2 linked regions of the Bombyx mori genome follow. The protein of the gene in region 1 purifies or fractionates together with the protein of each later gene. This does not show direct contact. Links are inferred from orthologs where the notes say so. Each region holds a gene or a part of one and is shown in the gene's direction. Other genes may lie near its edges. The genes, in order: intraflagellar transport protein 88 homolog and intraflagellar transport protein 46 homolog.

Evidence for each region.
Region 2: the proteins of intraflagellar transport protein 88 homolog (region 1) and intraflagellar transport protein 46 homolog purify together in Homo sapiens (affinity purification with mass spectrometry; 3 studies listed by BioGRID and IntAct, with this or other methods). This does not show direct contact. The link is inferred for Bombyx mori from reciprocal best matches to the Homo sapiens genes IFT88 and IFT46.

Annotation. Positions count from the first base shown.
Region 1 is NC_085119.1:6,958,488-6,967,570, forward strand, and holds part of intraflagellar transport protein 88 homolog, read left to right. Parts: coding exon 1-152; intron 153-3,708; coding exon 3,709-3,946; intron 3,947-4,756; coding exon 4,757-4,970; intron 4,971-5,699; coding exon 5,700-5,871; intron 5,872-6,522; coding exon 6,523-6,625; intron 6,626-7,005; coding exon 7,006-7,119; intron 7,120-8,018; coding exon 8,019-8,127; intron 8,128-8,526; coding exon 8,527-8,634; intron 8,635-9,083. UniProt on the Homo sapiens protein: Positively regulates primary cilium biogenesis. Also involved in autophagy since it is required for trafficking of ATG16L and the expansion of the autophagic compartment.
Region 2 is NC_085131.1:2,006,569-2,015,666, forward strand, and holds the start of intraflagellar transport protein 46 homolog, read left to right. Parts: upstream 1-3,627; 5' UTR 3,628-3,804; coding exon 3,805-4,050; intron 4,051-5,119; coding exon 5,120-5,246; intron 5,247-6,128; coding exon 6,129-6,294; intron 6,295-9,098. Other genes in the region: putative leucine-rich repeat-containing protein DDB_G0290503, read left to right, coding at 1-574. UniProt on the Homo sapiens protein: Forms part of a complex involved in intraflagellar transport (IFT), the bi-directional movement of particles required for the assembly, maintenance and functioning of primary cilia. May play a role in chondrocyte maturation and skeletogenesis.

The DNA of each region.
Region 1 (9,083 bases):
GAGAAAGATACTTACGAGTGCGTTGTCCGCGACGTGTCACGCGGAGATAAACTGTCTCGCTGGTCTCGGCGCGCGGCCGCTGAAGCTGAACGATGTCTGGCACTGGCCGCTGCGGTCCTCACACCCACAGCGGGGACGGACGATGATTCAGGGTGACTGTCCATTATACCTAGTCAGGTCATAAATTCTGTCACATGTTTAATGTAAAATAATTGAAACAAGTTTATTCATTATGTAACCATTCATATACCAAAATGAACTTAACAAAACATAGATTCTTATGACACTAAAGTTTATTCAAAATGACCTCCGTGATTTTGAATACAGGCCTTCAATCTGCGCGGCCAGTCGTCTATCGCAGCACGAACGAGGTCCATGTCAATATCGGCGGCTGCCTTAGTCAAGGATGTCTTGAGTGACTCCAAATTGGGATGAGGCTTTGAGCACGCCTTTTCCTCCAAGTGTTGCCATATCTTGTAATCTAACGGATTCAAATCTGGACTGGTGGAGGGCCAGTCTTCGTGCCGGATGAAGTCGATTTCACGCGCTGCCAGCCAGTCTTGTGTGCTCTTCCCTCTATGAGCTGGCGCCGAATCTTGTTGGAATACCCAGTGCCTGTTATTGAACATGGTATGAGAAACAGGTTCCACAAGGTTCGTCAGGACTGTATTTTGATACACAACTGCATTCGTTTTTACACCTTTCTCACAAAAATGTACCTCTGTTAAGCCCCAATAAGAAACTCCCAACCATACCATGAGCGAGGATGGAAAATGACCTCGTTGGACACGCGGAATACGGTTGCTCGCTTCTTCACTACTGTGTGCGTACACCTTATCATTTTGTTTGTTGTAGCTCTCTTCTACAGTAAAAATTTTTTCATCCGAAAAAAGAATTTCCCGATATTTTTTTCCCGCGTACCGCTTCAACAAAGCGCGGCATCTCTTCAGTCTCAGGTCCATTAGACGAGCATTCAAACGATGTCCTGTTTTTCTTCGATATGCCCGAAGCCCTAAGTCTTCATTTAACACCCTTTTCACCGTGGTTCTGCTTAACCCCATCTGAAGGGCCAACAGTTTCTGCTTAAGTTTGGGATTTCTTTGAATTCGCGCCTTCACAGCTTTTATCACTGCTGGAATCCTAACAGACCGAGGGCGACCACTTCTTGACCTGTCATCTACACTAGAGTCTTCATTGTATCGTTTGATGGTACGATAAACGAATCTTTTGGTTATATTCAAATTTTTCAGTATGTTAAAAATTTGAATTGGCGCGTAACCGCAACGATGCAACGCAATAACTGCAACACGGTCTTCTTTAAGCGTCCACTCCATATTTAAAAATGAGTAAAATTCTAAAAGTACCGGTAAAATGGGGCGATTAGGGATTGAGAGGCGAATCGGGAAAAAACCGGGAAAATCTTTCGACGCTCAATATAAGTTTTATATTCGTTGCAAAATCTTCCATTTTTTGTAGTTTAATAGTAGAATGTTGAAAGTTCACAAAACAATTCTGAATATGCATGATAATACCTGCTAACTTATGAAAAATCGCGTTTCAAATTAACTTCCTGTGGTGGTAATTATTTTAGTGCTAGAAACTTTGCTCTCTTTTATTTATTTGATAATAATAGAAGACGACTATGATTTATAAACGTTATTTAGTGTTTGAACCAGCATATATATTAAAGGTAAGTCTCAGTTGTTATTGGTTTTAATGTATTTGATTAAATAAAAATACATGTAAAAATCTGTTGTTTTTGGGGATATTGGGGACGTCTTAGGTACAAATAACAACGAAAAAGGGGTCAATTGGGATGAGAATACGTGAAATGGAAACGACCTAAGTATAAATAGGTACAGGTTTATAGGATTGTCTATGTAGTTATAACAATATTTTTTAAATTTGTTGGTAAAAATCTGGTTTATTCGAAGCGAAATTGGGAATAAGTCTTTAGTTGAAATAGATAAGCAATTTAATATAAGTAAGTCGATTTTGCAGAGACATGTAACAAGATCAATGAAATCTCAAGGTGGACAAAAATGTCTAAGTAATACATAATAAAATATTTAATATTTGTTCAGAGTGGGGGTATTCATCTGATTAATCCATGGAATAACCGACACACCTAATCTCTTAACCCAGATTGAAATATCAGCACTGTCGATTGCACCTATAATTGAGGTGATGTCTGCCATGTACTTTTGTCAGTTTTTCAATTTTTTTTATTGATGATCACTTTGTTGGTGCAACTAAATAAATAAATAAATTAAAACTATATATAAAAATAAAAGTAGTGCCAACCCTAGCAAATTTCTCATTTCGTCCCAATTAACCGCAAGTTTCGGGTAAATAGGGATTACACCTATTTTTGCATTTTTTGCTTAAACTGGAATGCTAGTTGCATAATTTTAAATTAGACAACAAAGATGCCCCCAAGACTCAATCATTTTGATCCTGATATAGCATTATATACATCAACAACTACCTTAAAATTGCTCATAAAGTTGGAATTTGTCCCTAATCGCCCCATTTTACGGTATACATTTTTATTTTCATGAACAATTCGAAATTCGAATTCAATAAACTTTTTTGTGACCAGCATTCTAAAAGAAAAGTTTTTACTGTGTGACAATACTTGAGTCGTCTATTATCAAAGGTGGCAATCTGTGCATTTGGACAAAAATTTTTTATTGATATGTCAATACAGATTGATTTGAATATAATCGTCTCCTTCAAAGAATACGGTTCAAAACCTGCATTAAATAAAGGTTAATAGTTAATCTGTTATTTATCTAAGTTGTCGTTCCGAAGAGTTTTGTGACTGCCAATGAAATACAAAGTCAATAATTCGTTATTCTGATTTACCAATCATTGTCCAAAAGTCAGATTGCCGGCTTTGATAATAGTCGACTCACTTATGACCTGACTAGTTATAATTGAATAGAGTGAACCGAGTCCTTGCGCGCAAAATCTCCGTTTGCCGGTAATGATAGTCTTAGTCATGTTTTTCGGTACAAATGGTAGATTACTATTATTCCAAGGCGGTTAATATTTCGATCCCGTTCGAAAGTGTAACAAGTGCCAATACATTTAAATAAAAATCAATATCTGTTTTCTAAACCATTCATCCGATGATGAAACAGATGTCTTGCTTTTGATACCCCAGGGAAGGTTTTTGCTATAGTATATAGCATAATTATTGTCCGGGTTAGTTATTTTTCATGCAATTAGCGATAGTCACAATGCATCATGAGAGCGGATTTCACTAGTTGCAATTTATGTGCATGAGTTTTCGCTAACGACTAATAAAATGAAATAGGCAAATTTATTACGATCGTAGTTTTTTTGTGCTTTCGTTCACATACCTGCCAATGACTGGTCAATGTCGCTCTTCGACATCAGAAATGTTAGAAGCATAGCCCGTTGGGTGCCTATTGTAGGTCCCAACGACCATACGGGACGAACCCATCGTCTTGCCGCGAGGTAATTATATGCTATGGTGTGAAAGGTAGAAATCGTTATTCTAAGAAGTCGCGTTGATATTGTGCATGATGTTTATTGGTGTCAACTGCCTTTCGGCACAGTTTTTTTTTCTACCTATGCTGATAGCCTTGATAGCTTAGCGTTAACGGACGAGTAGGTGAGCTCACGGGGCTCAAACCTGGCTTCGGCACTGGTTAAAGAGAGCGATGTCATATGGGGTAGCACTGGCATGTCGTGGTGTGTGGAGGCGTTGCGCGGGTACAGCGGTGCGGGGGGCGCGGGCGGCGCGGCGGGGGGGCGGCTGGAGCTTGGCGCGGCGCTCTCGTCCCTGCGCGCCTCCCGCACCGCCCGCTCCGGGCTCGCCGTACTGCAGCGACTAAAGGCCGTTGCGAAGGCGCACGCTGAGGACCGAGTGCTACGAGCCGAGGCCAATGCTGATGCAGCCTTCGTTGCCTACGCCGTAAGTTTTACATTTCACTTTTTTTTTCATACCTAAGCTGAGAGCCTTGAGAGGCTATATCAGCGTAACCTTAACTAGTAGGTGAGCTCACGGGGCTCAAACCTGACGACGTTGCTAACACGAACCCTAGCAAGAGGCGTACTTCGCAGAATCTACCACCGGATCGGAAACGCGACCCACTGAGAAGATCCGGCGAGAAACTCAGTGGGCTGTGTCTGTGGGTTAATTTACTCGTCGAGCCCTTCGTCGCAAGCGACGGGTTCGACGAGAACGATGACCGGTGCTTGAGGGACCTAAAAGCATCGTTAGTGGATCGGGAGGATCCGAAATAATGACATGTTTGGGGCGACGTCGACTGCTTTCCATTCTGTCCGCAGGAGCGGGAATGACATTTCACAAGCACAACGCACATTATACGGTCGGGATAAGTTGGAATAATTCGTTATATCCTTAGCCAAACAAACCTTTGCTATAAGAAATAGTCGTTGTACGTTGATCAACCATACAGAGTCTCTGCCGATTAATATTTGATAAATCACTGTCTTTTGACACCAATATAGATTTTTTTCTGATCATGGTTTAAGTCTTCAATTCTGTGGTTTTTGTAATTCTTTCGACCCATTAAAAGGTAGTGTTACTAATCAGAGACATCGAATTAGAAGCTTTTTGATTCGGTCTGTAATAATAAATAATATGTAGTGCTTTAGAATAATTCGATCGTAGTTTTTCTGTTCGAGTCGCGTTAGAAACTAACGCAACCAACGGAACAGACAACAATGTGCTATTGTTTTTTTTTTGTTTATATTCAAGCTGGGCAATTGGAGCGAGGCTCGTTCACTATCAGAGTCGGCGTCTCGTGACGATCCGTACTCGTGCGCGGCGCGCGTGACGCTCGCGCTGTCGTCGCTGCAAGCGTCGCTGTCGGAGGACGCGGCGCCGGAGCTGGCGTGGCGGGAAGCAGCCGAAACCCTCACGGCGGCCACACACCTCGACCCGGCCGACCTTATCGCTGCACATGATTTAGGTATATAATATTCTTAAGCCCTTTTTTCGGTCAGGAGGAAACAGAACGCCAAACATCCGCCTATGTATAAGGGCGGCAGAGAGATATCAGAGATAAACGACTAAAATACCCTTTCGCTCAACAATCTGCATCCGAATCTCGCAGAAAACAGAACTCAGAACTCAGATGAGGCACAATTCACCCAAAGCACACCGAGGACAAGATGAAGGATTTCGCGCGGATACCATTTCTCCCCGTTGCCTTGTATTCTTACAGCAAACGGACTGTTATAAAAATAATAGTTATGGTTGTGAAAGTAATATCTTCCACCGAGCAGATGACGTTACTCAGTAGTTCGAACGTTGTTTTTCAAACTTTTCATGGCAGAACAATATTTTGCTTTTTTTGTTTTTATTGCTTAGATGGGTAGACGAGCTAACAGCCCACCTGATGTTAAGTGGTTAATGGAGCCCATAGACATCTACAACGTAAATGCGCCATCCATCTTGAGATATTATTATACGTTTTAAGGTCTCAGTATAGTTACAACGGCTGCCCCACCCTTCAAACCGAAACGCAACGCAACTTCACGGCAGAAACAGGTGAGGTGGTGGCACCTCCCCGTGTGGACTCACAAGGGGTCCTACCACCAGTATTTTTATAACTGTTACTTACAATTTGTCCACGAGTGTACCTATTATTCTGATACCTCGCGGAAGATAGCGTCATTGTCAATTTGAATGTTTGTAGCTCTGTGCCTGGAGAAAACAGCGGGTCAGGAGGGCTTGTCGGTAGCGGCGGCGCGCTGGTCGCGGGTGCGTGCGTGCGGCGCGCCGTCGCACACGCTGCGCCCGCTCGCCGCCGCCGCACTCGCGCGCCTCGCGCTCCGCCACCCCGCCGATCACGCCGCCGCCGAACACTGGTACTTCCATACTTAGCCCTCATTCGTACGGGCGTTTGAAAAACGTTGCGTTAAAATTCGGCGTTGGCGCTTTTATAACGTTCTTGATGTAACGTAATCTGTAACGCCCAACGCATAGCGCTCAAAATGCAAAACTGCGCGATAAAAAAGCGTCGCGTATTAAAAGCGCTGACGTATGAACATAATATACAAATAAATGCATCTGTTGTATTTGAACGCTTTTTTAACGCGCGCTAAAAAAACTCTCGTGCGAATGAGTTCTAACTCTCAGCCGACTTCAATAGCAATAGCAAAACTTAATTTCCAATCTCAACATTTTCGCTAGTTTGAATGTCACAATAATTGTATCTGTAGGCAGCGGCTTGGCTCTGCCCCTGCCATTGCTGACGTCCATGAGCTACGGTAACCACTGACCATCCGTGGGCCGTATGCTCGTCTGCCTGCTCGGGCAATAAAATAAAAAGAACCGAATTTGGAACTTATGAAAATTCCAACGAAAATCTGTTTGAAGAAGGATATCATTTGATTCGTTTTTGAACTGTAACAAACACGCACAGACTATATATAGATAGTATACATTAGATGTATGTACCCCATTGTAAAACTGATCAACATTAATAATGGCAATCACAGTGCAAACCATGACAACAGGTACAGTCTGATTGGAAATTGGGATGCAGGCGTGACCTCCGCCCTAGCCCAGCTCCACAGCGAGATGGGCGATACGCAAACAGCCAAACACCATTACCAAGACGTAAGTTTAATTTAAAAAAAATCTCGATTCTGGCAATAATTTAGACTGATTGACTATTTGTGCGAACCAAAAAATACATTAATAAAATTGATGCTTGACAACTTACATAGAAAATAAGCAATAAGTCCATTGATTATACAATGTTTTGATGAACCACCTTATGCTTTACAGCTTACGTTCTATTTTTAGCTGACTTCATAATAAAAACAAAATATACATACAATTTATAAAACAAGACTATTTTCTAGGTATAATTGGCTTACACTTATTTTCTGTAAACAAATCCGTTCAAAGACAATGCAGCTCTGTTTTCCTTCGAATTGAATAGTAAAAGGTAAGGATAAGGCATTTTAGGTTTATATTATTACATTTTAATTCAGGTAGAAGCAATATGGCCGTGCGATTTAACAGCCCTCGAGTGGCTGGCGGGCGAGTCACCGCCAGATGTCGCCTTGCAGTACTACAGACGAGCTGCGCGACTAGAGCCGACTAATGTAATTATTATACAGTCAATAAAATGTACAAGTACAACAAACAGTAATAAACAAATAATAAATCATGTTAAAGTAAGTGTCAAGTAAGTACAAAAGCGATAGTAAAATTGATATTATAGCAATAACTTTTGCTCGTGGTCGAACGCTATCGTGACGTCTGTATTATGCGAGAATTTTGAAGTTATGTATACGTAACGTCAGTTGGGCAGGAATTGGCAGTTAGTACGCTTTTATGGGTTGAAAAGAATGCTGGTGTTATCGAAGCTATTCAAACTTCAACATGACGGGTAAAATTGGAAGCGTCAACCAGAACGGGGGAGTGGGGTACTTATAAATACTGCAGCACCTACTTAGCAACACAAGGGCAATTGCTTTCTTTTTTATTTATTTATTGCTTAGATGGGTGGACGAGCTCACAGCCCACCTGGTGTTAAGTGGTTACATAGACATCTACAACGTAAATGCGCAACTCACCTTGAGATATAAGTTCTAAGGTCTCAGTATAGTTACAACGGCTGCCCCACGCTTCAAACCGAAACGCATTACTGCTTCACGGCAGAAATAAGCAGGGTGGTGGTACCTACCCGTGCGGACTCACAAGCGGTCCTACCAGTAATTACGCAAATTATAATTTTGCGGGTTTGATTTTTACTACACAATCTTATTCCTTCACCGTGGAAGTCAATCGTGAGTATTTGTTAAGTACGTATTTCGTTAGAAAAATTGGTACCCGCCTGCGGGCTTCGAACACCGGTGCATCGCTACATCCGAATGCACCGGTCGTCTTATCCTTTAGGCTACGACGATATAAAATGTAACGAACGATACAGGGGTAAATAGACGACGCTAGAGGAACCCGGCCCACCTATAATTAGTCATAATAATTAAAACTCGAACAGCCACAATGGGGCTTACTGATGGGCGGCTGCCTCCGAGCCACGGGCCGGTACCAGGAAGCACTCAGCCTGTATAAGAAAATGAATACCCGTTTCCCCGACAATGTACAATGTGAGTTAACTTGTTATCTTGAAAAGTCGATTTAAATAACAAAGAGAAAAATGTAAATCAGTTCAGAGTAATGATGTTGGCAAAAGTTGACAATGAAAATAAGCGAACACTCTAAAGGTCATTTTAATGTGTATTTATGCGAAATATAGTCGAATAAATAAATAAATCAGGTGAAAGACCTTACTGAAACCGCATTTAACGAGTGTGTGCGTCAGGCCTCGGTTCGCAAACTATGGAAAACATCTGTCAAGGCTTTAATGAGCAAGAATTCCACATGACCACGACTGCTCTGCCAAGAGCAACCGATTATGATGAGTCGAATAATATAGTAACTATATTTCCGCAGAAATTATTCCCTTCTCTTTAAGTTGATGGAGAAGATACTTGAAATATTTTCAGGTCTGAAATTAATAGTGAAATTGTGCGGAGATCAAGGTTTATCTGAGACGAGCACGTGGACGCGAGAGTTACAGCGTGCGCAGGCCAGGCTCAAGCAGCAGGAAAGAGGTTCGTCAAACATTACATCAGGCAAACGTTTACTTTAAAAAAATGGCCCTCACAAGCAGTATGAACAACATTCATGTTCCTACCCAGTCTTGTAACTCCAATCAAAAAGACCTGTCTTTCTCAATTTATACATTTCTTTCCCTATTTACCAACAGATCGTTTCATTTGTATAACCATATTTGTGTATTATTTACTCAAATAAAATAAAGTTTCAATTGTAATTGAAAATGACGGGAGGTAAAATATTGAAATGTTCAAATTTTTTATGTACTTTAAATAATTTAAATTGGATAGATTAGTAAGCAAGCTCACGGCTAACTGACTATACTACTAGTACTAGTAGTAGACGGCTAACCTAGAGTAATTGTTTATACATACCTATCATCTAAGGAACCATGCACTCTAGTTTGTCATATGACCCTTATTCTATTGCCATTGGAATTTCAACC
Region 2 (9,098 bases), on another chromosome or scaffold:
AGAAGGACAGCAACGGTTGCAAAAGATAAACGATTTGAACGAAAAACTCGCCGAAAAGACTAAAATTAATAAGAGCATGGCGGCAGTCGTTGAAGAATATGAAAGAACGATTGCGAGCCTGATAGCGGATACGGAACAAGACAAGAAACGACACGCAGAAGAACGCATAGCTTTGATTAACGAGAGGGATGAGCAAACTGCTCACTTGGCCAGCATGGAGGTCTCATTCAACGATCTACACAGCAAATACGAAAAAAGTAAACAAGTTATATTGAGTTATAAAGCGAACGAAGAAAAATACAAGAATTCACTGAAAGAAATGGAAGAAAACGTCACGAAAATGCATAAAAATTACGAATTGCTAAAACAGCATGCGACCTCGAAACTAAATCACGCCAACGACGAATTGCAGAGGCTGAACAGATCTCACGAGGCGGAGGTGGTCAAACTAAACGCTATGATCAAACGCAAGGAGCTTCATATAACGTCGCTGGAGGAGACCTTAGCTCAGAAAACTAAGGCGAACGAGGAACTGACCGCGATATGCGACGAACTCATAAACAAAGTCGGCTGAACTAATTTTAGACGAACATAAAAACATATTGTTGTTTTTTTATTGCGTGTCTGTGATTCGAGCTCTTGTTTCGGTCGCTTGTGGGCTTATCGTTTGTGATAAGTCGCATTAAGTTTACGTTTACCCTTCGCCAAGTTTCGTGCCAAAATATTACGTAACTCGCGGCTCTCGTGTAGCGCCAAGACTGTCTAGTGTGATACGAAATTACAATTGATTTTTGATATAATTTTTTTTCCATAAAACACTGTGATCTTGTCAACAATTATGTGCCTTTTAGAGTGTAAAACATTCAATATTTCTAAACGAGAAATGCACTGTTTGTATTATGCTGGACATAACTAAACAGTGTTTTTAAAAAAAAAAGATGATGAAGTGAATAGTCTGAATTACTTGTGAATTGAAACTTTAAATCTCGTAAAATTTTACATTGTTAAATAATTATGTAGAATCTTATTGGATATATTTGTACCTATAGAGAATAGAAAAATGTGTAAAATAAATATATAGATATCCTTAAAAGTTGTTATTCACAGAGATTACTTATTTTATGTATCTCTAAAAACAATGAAAACGATAGTAATTGGAGCTTTAAAAATGCGTAGCCATGTTTTTGGAAATGAACAACGAATTGTCGATATCTGTCTCGTTATAATAACTCGCGTTAAGATTAGTGTAAGATTGTAATTAATAAATTTACATTTTTAGTCCCGCAAAATTGTTCTAATTCATTTTAAATTTAAAGTATACCACATAAATCCCTAACCACCCATGAACTTGCATTACTATAAACCAATAAGGATTAAGGATTCCTTGCAAGTTTCATCATTATTGCGCATGTCCAATCATTTTGTAATCTGTACTCGATGTAATGTCGCTAAAAATATTAAAATGCGTACAGAAAAGTAAGTCAGATAAAAACGCTGTAAGATTGTGTTAAACAAATTTAACTTTAGATTAATGTTAGTACATAGTTTAATAGTTGTAATAAATTAGTCACACTCTTTTCTTTCCTAAGCACGAGTTGGCACGGTTTGTATGTGCCAATTATTTTTGTATGATATTGAAATTTGACATTATTTTTAGTTGAATAAAGTTATTGACCTATTTGTATGTTAGTGTTTTATTCTTCTTGCCGTGTACCTTAGTTCTGTTTATTCTAGTTTTAAAACAAAAGTATTTGTGAGAAGCAAAAATTAGGCACAGATAATAATTTCTTTCAAAGTAAACATTTCTCCTGTTCCCTGGCCAAACTAATGGATGACAAACAAGGATCTATTTTCAACAATTTTGACGCTAGGCGGGAAAATTATAACGGACTAGCTGTACCCGTTCGCTACACTGGGCATTTAAAATTAACATTATTATTTCTCACCCCCACAAAGATTCTCATCATTAACGCCCCCGCAACTGGTGTAGGGAGTGGAACACTCATATAAATATTAGCTTATCCATTAAGTACATGTATTTTCTACATGGATACCAAGTTTCAAGTCAATCGAATGCATGGTTCAGTAGTAATAACGGAACATCAGTAAAAACCACTATAGATTTATATATTAGTATAGATAATACGGATTCGGCCGTTGTACAGGCTTGCTGTTCTTTATTTTGAAATAAAAGTAGCTCTAGGAAGTTCAAGTCACATTCCCATATTTGATTGATAATTAGACGCATTTACATTCGCTGAAGGTCATGAAGAAACTCAATCTCGCAGATGAGCGAGAGGCCTTTTTTTTCCTACCTAAGATGATAGCCTTGAGAGGCTATTTCAGCGTAACCTTAACTAGTAGGTGAGCTCACGGGCCTCAAACCGGAGTGATGTACTGACCCTAGCAAGAGCAGTGCTTCGCAGAATCTACCACCGGATCGGAAACGCGCCCTACTGAGAAGATCCGGCAAGAAACTCCGTGGACTGTGTCTATGGGTCAATGTGTTCGTCGAGTAACGTTCGTCGTTCCCTTCGTCGCAAGCGACGGGTTCGACGAGGACGGTGACCGATGCTTGTGGTACCTAAAAGCACCGTTAATGAATCGGGAGGATCCGTAATGACGTGTTTTGGGCGACGTCGACTGATTACCATTCGGTGTAGGTACAGGATCGGGTATGTAGTTTCCAGCGGCCACGACAAGAGCGTTCTCATGTCGTGCCGCCTTCTCAAAGTGGCGCAATGATGCCGACTGTAGATACTTACTGACTGATCAAGTTCCAGGTCATCATGCAGATTGAGCGGCCTAAATGCAACTTTTATATGTGTGCCCATGTCCTTTTATGAACACATTTCATGTTACGATATGACGAAAGATATCAAAATCGTGCACTTTTTATATTATGGGTGTAATGAGGAACAATACTAAAAAGTAAATAATTTTAAACCATTTTACTTATTCGGCTTAATAATATTCGAAAGTATAGAATTGTCCCAAAATGAATAGAAAAAAAAAATGTAGGTATCTATGTTTTATTATTATTTGTGAATCTTGTTATTGTATATTTTTAATTTAAATAACTGAATCTTCATGGTTTAGTTTTGTTTTATTTTACTGCACACTTTTCCACCTTTGTGACCTACGGACTTCTGATTTTGGTTTGCCGGAAAAGTTAGAGTTCCCACTTTCCCACTTGCCTTTGAAGCATACAATTTACATATTTTTTACTGGTGGCAGGACTTCCTGTGAGTCCGCACGGGTAGGTACCACCGCCCCGCCTATTTCTGCCGTGAAGCAGTAATGCGTTTCGGTTTGAAGGGCGGGGCAGCCGTTGTAACTATACTGAGACCTTAGAACTTATGTCTCAAGGTGGGTGGTGCATTTACGTTAATGTCTATGGGCTCCAATAACCACTTAACACCGGGTGGGCTGTGAGCTCGTCCATCCATCTAAGCAATAAAAAAAAAAAACAATTTAAATTGAGTCGTATGTGTAATATTTCTTTGTACAGTAAACAATAAATAACAATAATACTAATTTTATAATAATATGCATTTTTATTTCAATTCAACTGTTAACTTTTTTCTTTAAGTAAAAGTCATTAGACGCGTTTGTCACGATCAGACGTAATGGGTTTTGCGTCTACAAAAAAATGAATCTAACGTAAATTAATAAAACCACATCGCAAAACTTTCGTACCAATCCGTGCCACGTGAGCGAAAAACATCCGATGAGACCACAAAAAGGTGCTATTTCCATGCAGGTTCCGCGATAGACACACCGAAACGCGGTTCGCTCGTTTCCATGGCAACTAATGACAAACAGTCACAGACGGCCAGGACTCCTGAGAATGTTCCAATGTATGACGAGACCGTGGTGGTAGACGCTAGCGAGATCGACAGCCCCTCGAGCGACGAGGAAGTGGTCAGAGCTACTATGGCCAAGTTCAATCCCCCGGTGAGACACACAGCGCGACACGACTTCGATTCTGACAGTCAAAGCGATTCGGGATCTGACAACTTCTTGGGTAACACGTCCTTAGAAGATAAGGTAGGTCTTTGTCTTTTTCTGAACTGTTTCCGAGTTTTATGAATGAATAATCGTACTAAATTTACCGACATAATATATGGTAATATGTTAACAAGAAAACTATAGATAGCACTTATTGAAATATTCGAAATAAAAATGAGCACTCTTAAATTCGAGAATGTTTTTTTTTTGCGTTCTTCGCTACCGATGGCAGGCGTTTTGCTTAATCGAAATGACGAAAAATCTATAGAAATATTTATATCAGTGAGCAGTCAACATTTATAGTTTGATTTTTGATTTTTTACTTGTGGTAGGACCTCTTGTGAGTCCGTGCGTGTGGGTACCACCACATTGCCTATTTCGGCTGCGAAGCAGTAATGCGTTTCAGGTTGAAGGGTGGAGCAGCCGTTGTATATACTTGAGACCTTAGAACTTATATCTCAAGGTGGGTGGCGCATTTACGTTGTGGATGTCTATGGGCTCCAGTAACCACTTAACACCAGGCGGGCTGTGAGCTCGTCCACCTATCTCAGCAATAAAAAAAAAATTATAATGCTAAGTTAAAAAAACAATGGCTGCGATCGGGTTAACGAATTTATACCGCACGGACATCGTAGTGCAATGATCTGTTTGAAAAAATGCACCAGGAATTTTCTATTCTCATCCGCGTTTAACGCGTTTCCTTGAGATCTCATATCAAAGTGTTTTATGGTGGCCGCGTCCAGACGTTGTACGTTGTTGCAGCTGTAAGCGGTTAGCTTCAGCAAATAATATTGTTTAGTTTATAACATCATTAACGTTTGTACCGAGAAATATTTTGAGATTCAATGATTTATATTTATTGTTTATTTAGCTCACTGCCCGTTGTAACTGTAGTGAGACTTTAGAACTTAGAACCTTAGAACATGAGTTGTAAGGTTTCACTTTTAACAGTACAACGGCTGTCCCGCCCTTCAAACCGAAATACATTACTACTTCACGACAGAAATAGGTATTGTAGTGGTACCTAACCATACGGACTCACAAGACGTGTTACCCCCAGTAAGGCTGGCTTACGAGGATCTCTGAAGATACAAGCATTATGTTTTAGGTACCAGACAAGAAGCCGCTTGTGCCCGAGAAAGCGAATGATGTCCAGAAAAACGTTACGAAGGTTACCAAGGCAGGCAGCGAGAGACCCAAAGCGTCCTCCAAACGTAATGATTCTTCTAATTCTGGTGAGTTAAAAAAATCAAATACTGCTACAGACCGCAGATAACAGTCTTTATACCTCTAAACCGATAGAGGTACTCACGTCCCACCTGGTGCTAAATGGTCACCGGAGCCCATAAGTCCTACGAACAAATGGTCTTGAAAAATAAAACCTCTAAGTGATGTTTAATAGTACACCGAAATAACCCAAACTATTCAAAAAGTCCAACTCTACCGTACAATAGACTGTCTTATCACTAAAACTGTAACTATACTGTGTAGGCTGTGAGCTCGTCCACTCATCCAAGCAATAAAAAAAAGTATAGGCTACTATATAAGGCCTTCAGCGCAAAAGTGGTCTAAGCTTACCTGAGCTTACTATAATAAGTATGGAGACAATGAGGTCTGAATTTGCTGACCTGTACTGACTGCCGACCGAACCTGTAGACCGAATGGTATACAGTCGACGTTGTCCAAAACACGTCATTACGGATCCTCCCGATCCATTAACGGTGCTTTTAGGTACTACAAGCACCGGTTACCGTCCTCGTCGAACCCGTCGCTTACGACGAAGGGCTCGACGAGCGAATTAACCCATAGACACAGCCCACTGAGTTTCTCGCCGAATCTTCTGAGTGGGTCGCGTTTCTGATCCGATGGTAAATTCTGCGAAGTAGTGCTCTTGCTAGGCCCGGTGTTAGCAACAGTCCGGTTTGAGCATCGTGAGCTCACCTACACGTTAGGGTGAAGCTGAAATAGCCTCTCAAGGCTATTAGCATAGGTAGGAAGAACAAAAAAACTACGAATATCAAATAATGTAGGATAGGCCACTTTTGTGCTGACGGCCTCATATATGGCACTATAGTATAGCGTAGTCTGAAATCAGCTTTAATCATCTTATAATTCAGAAACAGATAGCGGAGAAATGGAACGCGAGCGACCCGACCCCCTGATAGGCAGCGGTCGCAAGCGAGGCGGCGTCGTGATACCAGCTGAAGGCGCGTACGATCCCAAGCTGTATCAGGATCTGAAGGTTCCGCCTGAAATGGAAAACATCTTTCAGTATATTATGAAGTGAGAACCTATGTCTTTACAGTTTTCGTTTGCTGCACACGAGTTTCTTTGACTACGATGATAAGCATTTTCTGATGGCAAGTGATTGTGGACTCAATAGGCGTTTTGCCTTATGTGTATGCACAAACTTTACATACATTATATACGACCTGTACCCACTGCTGTCCCGTTCCATATATGTATACATATTCTTAAAATAATTATTGCACAGAAGAATGAAGTACCTTTGAAAATTAGGAGAATCTACTTTTACAACAAATTTGTAAAGTAAAATCGACAGTAAGAAACGCGAGATTAAACCGTAAAAATAGTTTTAAATCCGATTACGTCTCGCCGATACCGCAAAGTAAATAAGCTCAATGAAATAATTCTCATTTTCTTATTGTGAAAAAGTCGTTATATTAGTCCAGCCGGTCAAGTTTTAGAGTAAGAAAACAGTTAAATACGAAATATTGACTTCGACTTTGTTAAACAGGAATTTTAAATTCGACCCGGTGCAACACTATGCTACTGTAAATTTTATAGTAGTTTTTATATTTATGTACCAGCGGCCGGCGCGCTAATATGCGAATCCTCGGGCATTGATGACGTATATGTAACTGATCCATGTTACGAAAACGCTTTTTTTTGTCAGGAGGAAATCACCGGACTTCCGCCCTCCACTGGGGATGGAGGGCGGGGCATGTCGGAGTCGAACCGACTAAAGCCTCCTGTCGCTCAACAACCAGCATCCAAATCTCGCATGAGACATAACTAATGAAAAAGCAAAGGGGAGAAAGCAAAGCGTTTAGTGCGGAGCACATCTCTCCCATCACCCTCTCCCTCTTTTGTTGGTAGTCGGGTTTCAATATTTCCTTCGTGCTCTTTTCGAGATTGAATTTTTAAAAGCCAATTATTTATACTCCACTGCACCCGCGTTGGAACTTAATATGTGCCACGAGATATTTTCTCCGGTTAACGAGCGATTTTAGGTCATCAAAATAAAATTAGCAAAATGACTGTTGATTCTAGGACAGTGGGAGTTACGATAGTAATTATTGTGAACCCGTACGGGTAGATACCACTGCTCCGCTTATTTCTGCCGCCAAAGAACCACGGGTTCTGGTTTATAGAATAATCTGAACATTGTGTATCTGAAATTGTCTATTTTCCCGCTCAAATATTGTCCCAAAAACACAGCCCACTGAGTTTCTCGCCGGATCTTCTTAGTGGGTCGCGATTCCGATTCTGTGGTAGATTCTCCGAAACACCGCTCTTGCTAGGGCTAGTGTTAGCAATTTCTCTTAGGTTGATCCTCACCTATTCGTCCGCGAGAAGCTGGGATATCCCCTTAGGATGTCAGCAAATCGGTAGGTAGGGAAAAAAGCTCAAACATTGTTTGACATGTATCACGGTAAAAACATAAAGAAAAACAAAGACGAACGCATTCCTAAATTTTCATAGTTATCAAGATATCCCAGAACATCAATTATAAATTATTAACGGAATAGTTAGTGCGCTCTACATATCGTCCTTTAATGCGATATATCAAATTTACAGACATGTGGGCGAAACGCCTACAGTTTAACCTTGCTAGATCTAGAGTTAAACTAAAATTAACGGTTAACAACTCTTTAGTAATAGACATTAGGTCGAATTCGAGCTGGCAATTGAAATCTAATAAGATTATTAGCGTCAACCAGGTTAGGGTTTGCAGTGGTCCGAGGAAGGTTTATTTACTCTTTCAAAACCAATATTCGATTGTGTCTGTATTTGTAAAAACTAAGTTTACCTTTTTATCATCATAGTCGGTTGTTCTTGGCAGAGCAGTCGTGGTCATGTGGAATTCTTGTCTATCAAAGCCTTGACAGATATTCCCATAGTTTATAGATATATTTCCATAGTTTGCAAATTGAGGCTTGGCGCACGCACTCGTTAAGTGGGGTTTTAGTAAGGTCTTTCACCTGATCAGTCTAGCTTTACCTTTTAATGTTGTAAAAATAGGTTCCACTGCCTCAATGTTGAATTAAATGGATTTTACTCTTCAGGTAAGGAATTTAGGGAACCCGATATTTCAATGTAACAATACGTTTCGACTTTGTTTTTTGTATATCTACCGGTGGTCTCGAAGGGCCATTTTGGCTTCATCCTGGCTCATGGATGAGCTCACGAGGCTCAGCCTGAAAGAGTTTCGGAATATCTGTCCTAGAAAGAGCAGTGCTTCACTGCATCTAACATCGGATCGAAATCGCAACCCACTGAGAAGGTCAGGCGAGGAATTCTATGGGTTGTGTCTATGGATTAGGATGCACGTCGAACTCACGAGAAAAATGACCGGGAGAGAATCTGAAAGGACACCTTGGGCGAAGTCGACTCTTCGTTGTCCCGTTGTCTGAGTCGGGTTTGTAGTTAGCTGACATTTCGACAGTCTATGAATATGCTCCAAGTTTGTATTGTCTATAAGCTCCAGTACTGAAGAATCTGATTCGGTGTCCAGAGGGGGCCCCGGTCTGCTTCTTTCGAGACTCAAGCACCCCTTGTTGAGCTACAGGAGGCCTTAGCCGATTCAACCCCGACATACCACTCTTAAGGCAAACAGCACATAGGCGAATGCCCGGAGATTTCCTAAATCCAAACAAAAAGATCTCTAGCAACTGTTAAGTACCATAGATAATCTGTTAAAACATTTGAGTGAAGCATACAACTGTTGCTGCTATAGCCCTACTGGGAGCTAAATTTATAAAAGCGAAACCCGTCATATTGTTTAAGCGCGTGTATAATTCACAATATGTTATTGTACGTGAGCACGCGATCATACCTTGTAT